Linked DNA regions of Cricetulus griseus. The protein of the gene in region 2 interacts with the protein of the main gene of each other region in a biochemical or structural test. Links are inferred from orthologs where the notes say so. Each region holds a gene or a part of one and is shown on either strand. Other genes may lie near its edges.

Region 1 (3,500 bases), on a different chromosome or scaffold from region 2:
AAACCTCCTGATACCTGCTGTGGGGTCCAGCCTCTCTGAAGCCCTGGACTTGATTGAGTCGGTATGTTGGTCCCAGCACTTCTCTTTTGAATTTGCCTTTTTCCGTCATCCTCCTAGCATATATTGACTGATGGAAGTTGCATAGCTCCGACCAGACTGGGGACACCAGTGAGGTCGCTGCAATCCTTGCCCTACAGTGTGGAATGGGGTGAAAAGGATTCTCAGAGAGGGCACTGAATTGGCATCATATAGTTATATCTCACTGGAAAGGGCCCTGGAAGTGCCAGGGGTTATGGTTGCAACCTCTGGAGCAGCAAATGGGTTTGGCTTCTCAGGCCAAGGCCATGCTATGCTTACTGTCCTAGGTTGTGTTCCTTATGTGGCTTTTCCTGAGGAGACAAACAAGTATCTGTTTACTCAGATACAGTACTAAGGACAGATTGAACAATTCCACACAGCTCTAGCATGGTGAGCTAATGAGTTCTTGGAGACACATAGAGGATTGTGGGCATCCTGCAGTCCCATAAGACGGCTTCGTCACCAGAAAGCTGACCCAGCATGACCATAGACTCAAGCTGCATCCCTGGAGCTCCCAGCCCAGCTTGCATGCAATCCTCAGGGAGGAGTCTCTTCTTCACCAGCAGTTACTTACAGCTTTATAACCTCAGGGAGGGGCCTTCTGGCTCTTGTAACTTTCCTCTAGGAGGGAATGTGTCATTTCTGAGAAAATAAACAATGACTTTGCCTGAGAGCCTGTGGGCGGGGCCACCCCTCTGATTTGCTATCGAGCTTTAGGCTGTATCATCTAGGAGTTAAGTCCTGACTGACTCAGACCTCAGACTCTTTTACAGTTTCCTTCTGGGAGGGCTGAAGATTAGGGAAAGGCTCTACAAAAGCTGCTCTCCATCCTCTCCAGCATCCTCCCAGGCATTCCTGCAGCATACGCTTTCTAGCTCCAAGATGTCATCAGTTTCCTGGACCTCTGATCTTTGAGATCGGGTATAGGGCTGAGGTCAGCCTAGCTGCAAGCTAGTTTCTACTCTCAGGAATGAACTGTCACTGGCTCCAGCAAATCCCAAGAACCACAGCTTGTGAGTGGGCTCTGGATCTACACAGGGCCACACCTCAAGGACCATAGTGGAACCTTCTGTTTCCAGAAGCCTTTGGGTAAAGGCAAAGGACTGTGGTGATCTCATGATCTTCGGAGCTTAGTGTGGGTTCCTTGATATCAAAGTAGGAAAGGGAGCCAGTGAGATGGCTCAGCAGATAGAGGCACTTGCCACCAAGCCCACCAAGCTGAGTTTAATCCACAGGACCCACGTGGCAGTAGGAGAGGACTAACTCCTTCAAGTTGTCCTTGACATTCACGTATAAATAAATGCAATGAATTAATAAAAAAAAAAAGGCAAAAGTCGTGCTTCCTAGCAGGTTGCTATGGGGATTGTGAAGCTGTTGATGGGCAAGAATCCCATTCAAGCTTCAGCATAATACATATACATATACATAGAATGTTGAGGAAATGAATGTAAGTGGTAATGACTGATCCCAGGGATAAGGGACTGAATATGACACTGGTGTATTTTCTCGTAATGAATGAAGTCCTACTGTATTAGGACCTTCTAACCTCCCTTTCTGGCAGGACCCTGATGCTTGGTGTGACCTGAGTAAATTTGATCTTCCTGAAGAGCCATCTGCTGAGGGCAGTGTCAACAGCAGCCCAGTGCAGCCCCAGACATCACAGCAGCAGCAACAGGCACAGTCATCCCACCAGAGCGCCACACCAGGTCCCAGCATGACTGAGTATCGGCTTGATGGCCACACTATTTCAGACCTGAGCCGGAGCAGCCGGGGGGAGCTTATCCCCATTTCCCCCAGCACTGAGGTTGGGGGCTCAGGCATTGGCACACCACCCTCAGTGCTCAAACGGCAGAAGAAACGGCGTGTGGCCCTGTCGCCTGTCACAGAAAACAGTGCCAGCCTGTCCTTCCTGGATTCCTGTAACAGTCTCACCCCGAAGAGCACACCTGTCAAAACCCTGCCCTTCTCTCCTTCCCAGGTGTGTGGGCCCTTCTGGCTGCCTTGGCTCCCACATATAAACACTTAGTGCCCAGTGAGGTCTGGCACAGGTACACACTAGATAATCAGTATTTGCTGAGTATCTCCCTGTGCTCAGTGCTGGGGGCCCAGTGCTAGTTGAGAAAACCAGACCTGGCCCTGCCCTAATGAAGCTTACACTCTGGGTGGTAAAAGATCCAGATAAGTGATAAAATGAAGAAGAGGCAAAGACTTTAGTCACTTGTCCTGTTTTTTTTTTTTTTTTTTTTCATCAAAATACTTGATGTGAAAGTAATTGAAGAAAGGACAGCTTTATTTTGGTTATACCCTATGACAAGGAGCTGAAAGTAGCTGGTTACACTGCAGCCAATCAGGAGATGGAATGATGTCCTGTTAGGCTCCCCTTTTCCTTGTCATTCAAAGAGTCCAGGCAGTGACTGACACTGCCTACAGTAGGGTGGGTCATCCCTATCTCATTTAACCTAATCTAGAAAAGTCCCTTTCAGACAAGCCCAGAGGTTTGTTCCCATGGTGATTGTAAACACCATCAAGTTGGTGTTTCAAAGGTGGAAGGATTTCTTCCATTGAGAAAGCTGCAGGGCCTTGTTGGATGATAGAGAAAAGACAGAAGGACTGAGTCATACTTGTTGAAAGAAGTTTTTGCTGGTGTCCTACAGGTCAGGACAAGACCTCAACCTTATAGAACAGGCACAGGGAGGGGTGTCTAAGGATCTATTCGTCTGTCCCTCAAAGGCCTCATCTTGTCACATGTTCTATCTCTTCCCTGGCAGTTTCTGAACTTCTGGAACAAACAGGATACCCTGGAGCTGGAGAGCCCCTCGCTGACGTCCACTCCAGTGTGCAGCCAGAAGGTGGTGGTCACCACACCCTTGCACAGGGATAAGACACCCCTTCACCAGAAGTATCCATCGTGAGTGCCACGGGGCCACCTGCCCACCCTGGGCAAAGGGGAAGTCTCTGATCCTGGGGAGTGGCCGCCGTATCTCTTTGTCCTTGTCTGAAAAGCCTGGTTCTTTCCCTTCTTTTTCCCTCACTTTTATTTTTTAACTTCATAGTCCTAGCTCTCAGAAACAGTGTTCAAATTGCTGCCCCAAAACACTAATATTTCCCCTTCTTTGATAAGCATCAAGTATAGATCATATGTGTTTGAACCTGGAAGTGCCCCTGGGCTGTCTGCCTCAGGAGCCTAGAGCACTGCGGTTGTGTCTGTCCTCAGCCTGCTGTGAGTCTGTCTGTCCTCAGCACGTTATGTACAGTGAGCCCACTTCCTCTTTTGGCATAATGGAATTCCAGGTGGGTGTCTGTCCAAGGAGCTAGGAATTTTGCACAAGGTAATGAGATGACTTTTCAGAAGCAATTTACTAATCCACTGTTTAGAAATCACTCAGTCAAATAATGATAATCTTGCAAGACATAGTTCTTAG
Region 2 (4,288 bases):
GGGACTTTCCCTTCACACGTGGCCAGGTCACCGGCCCAATGACCCCAGCTCGGAATCTGTCCTTGTGCCCCTTCAACACCCAAGGCCCAGCACCTCTCCGCGTTCCTTCCTCTTCCCGGTGCCACCGGGTGCCCATGGGGAAGATCTCTCCCGGGTACCTGCGGCACCGCGAGTTACCCTAGAGCCCCCAATCTCTCCCAGCTCTCCTTGCCACACTCGAGGCACCTGGCCATCCTGGTGGGTAGAGATGAGGTTCAGTCCGCCGCCGCCCACGGTCGGGAGCCCTCAAGGCAGGCGCCCTGGAGAAGGAGGTGAGGAAGGGGAGCGAGCCGCGCCCTCGGGCCGACTTGGAGGGCTCCGCGGCCGCAGCCCGAGGGCCCCGCGTCGCTCTCCCGAGCCAGGGTTCTCGGGAGCAGGCCGCGCAGGAGACGTTGGAGGGAGGGGTTCGTGGCTGTTGGGGGAACCGGCTCCTGGGGAACAGTCCCTTCCAGGGTGGGTACTGTGGGCAGGCCGTCGTCCGCCCTCGCAGGGGACGCCGGCCAGACGGGCGCGAGTGGCGACGTGCAGTGCGGTGCGCCCAGTACGCCCAGCTTTGCGGCTCAGGAGCCCCGGGTTGCGCGGTTAGCCGCGCCCGGTAGCGCTCCGGGGCCAAGCATCAGCCGGCGGCGCTGCAGGTGAGCGGTCGCCAGGGCGATGAGGACCCGGGCGCACGCCCGCCGCGGTTGGCATGGAAGCGGCTCGGAGGGGCCCGGACTGGTCGCTGATTGGCTGGTTCAACAGACGCGGCTGGGTCGAAAGTGCTCAGTGGCGAGCGCAGCAGCCCTAGCCGCTGGAGCCGGCGCCCCTGGAATCTCTCCACTCCGGGTCCCCTCCCTTCACGCCAGGCCCCGCCCGCCCGGCCCCGGCCTGGGTGCGCTGGCTAATCGCCTCAGAAGGAGAAGAACCTGAGAATCAGGGCCGCCTGGGGTTCCCAAGCAGGTTTGGGGGCCTTCCTCTGGTGAGAAGCACTTGCTTGTCACTTGGGAAGGGGAATCATTTGTCCACAGTTCGAGTTTCAGGGTTTAGTCTGAGATGAGGGAAGGTGGGGAGGAAAATCAGGGATCCTAGGCAACACCTCTCTATCCCCCCCCCCCCCGCCCAAACAACACAAATCAGTGTGGGCTGAGAATCCCGATGTGGAGTTTGGACAGACAGCCCCCCCTCCCTCCCTCCCTTCCCTCCCTCCCACTCTCTCTCTCATTGCAACCTTCAGCCTGGGGTCAGATTAAAGCCTATTCAACCAGTGTTTGGTTGTGAGTTGCTCTGATGCCTGCTGCTGTGGCTCGCTTCGGAAACGCTGACCTTAATGTTTGTTGAGAAGTTGAGAAATGGGTGGTAACTCCGCCGGGGCTTGGCATTCTCTGCATTCCTGGGTCCCCAGGTTGAGAGGGTTGACTAACTGTCTCCTTCTCTTTCCCTGGATAGCAGCAGGTTGTGGCTTGCTAGGCAATGCGTCGCCACAGCTCCAAGAGTGGAGTCGCTCTCCCTCCAGTGGGCCAAGGTCCCGAGGCTTGTCAAATGCTCACTAGAGCTCAGCTCGGCCAGGATCCCCCACAGAGAACCGTGCTAGGGGTGTTGACTGAAAATGAGCAGTACAGGAGGACCTGTGGCCAGGTAATGACCCAGGAGCATCAGGGAAGATGCTGTGGAGAAGGCCTGCCTGCCTGCGGCAATGTGCATGTCTGAGTGTGTGTGTGTGTGTGTGTGTGTGTGTGTGTGTGTGTGTGTGTGTGTGTGTGTGTGTGTGTGTGTGTTTCCCCCTATATCAAAGAAGTAAATCTTAGAGACTGTTTGGGTTAGGAATGTGTTAAGTGACTTAAGAGTTAGTCAGAAGGGAGATGCGATTACTTTGATCTGTAGTGCAGGGGTGGGGGTGGGGTTGGGAGGAACCTCTGGGCCAGAAAGTTGTATGGATGAGCCAGGCCACCAGAAATCAATCAATGGAGACAGCGTGTGTACCAGGATACACTAGTTTATCTTTTAAGAGAAAGGTGGCATCCAGAGCAAACATATCTACCACTACAGACAATGGCACTGAGATGCTACCAGTCTGCTCTTAACTGACTGTATAACTGGCACCGAAGACAGCATCAAATTCAGACGTTTAAATGTAGAGGAGAGATTTGAATCTGCAGCAGTGACTTTTTGAGATAGAAAATAAAGTGTCCTCTAAGCCTGTTATTAGATAAACCCTTGTAACGAGGCCTCAATTCTGTATTACAAGTCTGTGGAACCCAATGGTTACAAGAGTCCAGTCCAGCAGGTGGGTGGGTTTTAAGGGCAGGTTAGAGATGGTTTATCCCTCCCACCTGTTACAGTAGAGGCTCATTCAGAGACCCTTCATCTACTGCCTCTTCAAGTCCTCTGCTCTTGGGTCTGACTGTATCCATTGGTGGCAGTGATCCCCCAGATGATCCCTTTAATGCTCTGAGTCAAGCCAAGTGAAAATAGTTTTAACAAAAATGGCTTAGCAATGTTTCACTTCTTTAAACTTGCCATCTGAGACCTGAATTTATGAATTAAAAGTGGTGTTTACATTGAATGTCCTTGTTTGAAATTCACACTCAGCTCTTGTGCTACCGGAGTTACTGCTTGGTGTCTCCTCGACACTCCATTCCCCTACACCTTCCATAGAAACCCACCTCAAGCCTGATTCCCTATTATTTGTTCTTTGGTTTCTATTTGGTTTTAAAATAATTTAATTCCTTCATTACTATGTATGTACATGTGTGCATATATGATGTGTGTTTGTGAGCATGCATGCCACAGCATTCATGTAGAGGTTGATGACAAGATTGGAAGCTCCTTCTGAGGTTTGAACTCAGGTCACTGGGCTTGATAACAAGAGTCTTTACCCTCTGAACCGTCTTGTTGCCTCAACCCTTAATTGTTCACAGCCCTGCTCCTTCAGAATAAAGAATAAGATGACTGTATCCTGCTTTCCCAAAAGAATGCTTCAGCCAGAACTTCACTCTTCCTCCCAACTCCAGGGAGTAGGGAGAGTCTAGGCCAAGCTGGCTTTGATGTGGTACATAGCTCTAAATGGCCTCAAATTCAGGACCCTCCTACCTCATCCATTCTAGTGCTACAATTACATGTTTGTTCACTTTGGGCCAGCAGCTAGAATCTTTACTGCTCCCCTGTGTTATTCCCTTCCTGCTCTGTGACTGGAACCCATGACCTCTTGGATTTCAAGGTACCTCTCTAACAATTCTTCTCTTTCTCCAATTTCTTATCTCTCTGAAGCAAATCCATACATGCATGGATATATGGAAATAGCTTCCCATCTTCAAACTTGTCCAGCCACACAGCTATCTCTGTGCAGCTACTGTCCCAGTTACAGCAAGATTTATTAGAAACTGTCTATCTTAATGGTATGGGCATTCCACCAGGGTGACAATGTGGGGATGACACTTTTCTGTGGTATTCCTACTGTCCAGAAGAGTGATGGGCCTGGCTAGACAAGCTTGGTGTGTTTGTTGGCTTGGCACTTTCTGTTTCTGAGTCTTCTCTCACTCAGTTTTGTCTTCCTTGATATATTGACACCTTTCACATAAGTGGCCATTCTTCCTTCTTTGAAACCATTTATTCTTGCTCAGTTTAGTAAAAAGTACTCTTTCTTGATGTGTTATGCAACACATTGCCTCTCCTCTGTCTCTTACACACACACACACACACACACACACACACACAACACACACACAGATACACACATACACACACACACACAGATACACACACACACACACACACACACACACACACACACACACACACGTAGAGCAGAACTCAAACCCAGCAGTAACATGAGTCATGGCTAGTTGTAACTTGCCTCATGGAATTTTTTCCTCTAACATTTTATTACAAATTGTTTTTCTTATTAAACATAAGTTTAACTTCCTTGATGAAAAGTAAATTCATGAAGTGACATATGAATTGGGAAGTGGTATCCAATAATAACTACCAAGATTAAGTATAAGCAAAATGTTCACAGTTGATGGTACTGGCATATCAAAGTCTAACTCCTAGGCCTGCTCTGGCTGCCACACATAACTCTCCTTAGACCACTGGTTGCCAGTGTTCACTATGACAGGGCCACTGTTGTTTCTGTTGTTCTCTCTGTAAGAATAAAGAAAAGAAATGATTTGAGAAAATTCCCCAAGAGTAATGATGATATACAAAAATATTTTCATACCATTTTAGAATGTTTTGTAGCACAGGGCTCCAAGGTCATGATGTTTTCCTGAAT

The links. The genes of interacting proteins can lie anywhere in the genome.
Region 1: the proteins of Ccna1 (region 2) and Mybl2 form a complex in vitro, tested with the Homo sapiens proteins (2 studies listed by BioGRID, with this or other methods). The link is inferred for Cricetulus griseus from reciprocal best matches to the Homo sapiens genes CCNA1 and MYBL2.

Annotation. Positions count from the first base shown.
Region 1 is NC_048599.1:16,446,242-16,449,741, reverse strand, and holds part of Mybl2 (myb-related protein B), read left to right. Parts: coding exon 1-61; intron 62-1,639; coding exon 1,640-2,056; intron 2,057-2,846; coding exon 2,847-2,986; intron 2,987-3,500. UniProt on the Homo sapiens protein: Transcription factor involved in the regulation of cell survival, proliferation, and differentiation. Transactivates the expression of the CLU gene.
Region 2 is NW_023276806.1:96,102,541-96,106,828, forward strand, and holds the start of Ccna1 (cyclin-A1), read left to right. Parts: upstream 1-1,488; coding exon 1,489-1,653; intron 1,654-4,288. UniProt on the Homo sapiens protein: May be involved in the control of the cell cycle at the G1/S (start) and G2/M (mitosis) transitions. May primarily function in the control of the germline meiotic cell cycle and additionally in the control of mitotic cell cycle in some somatic cells.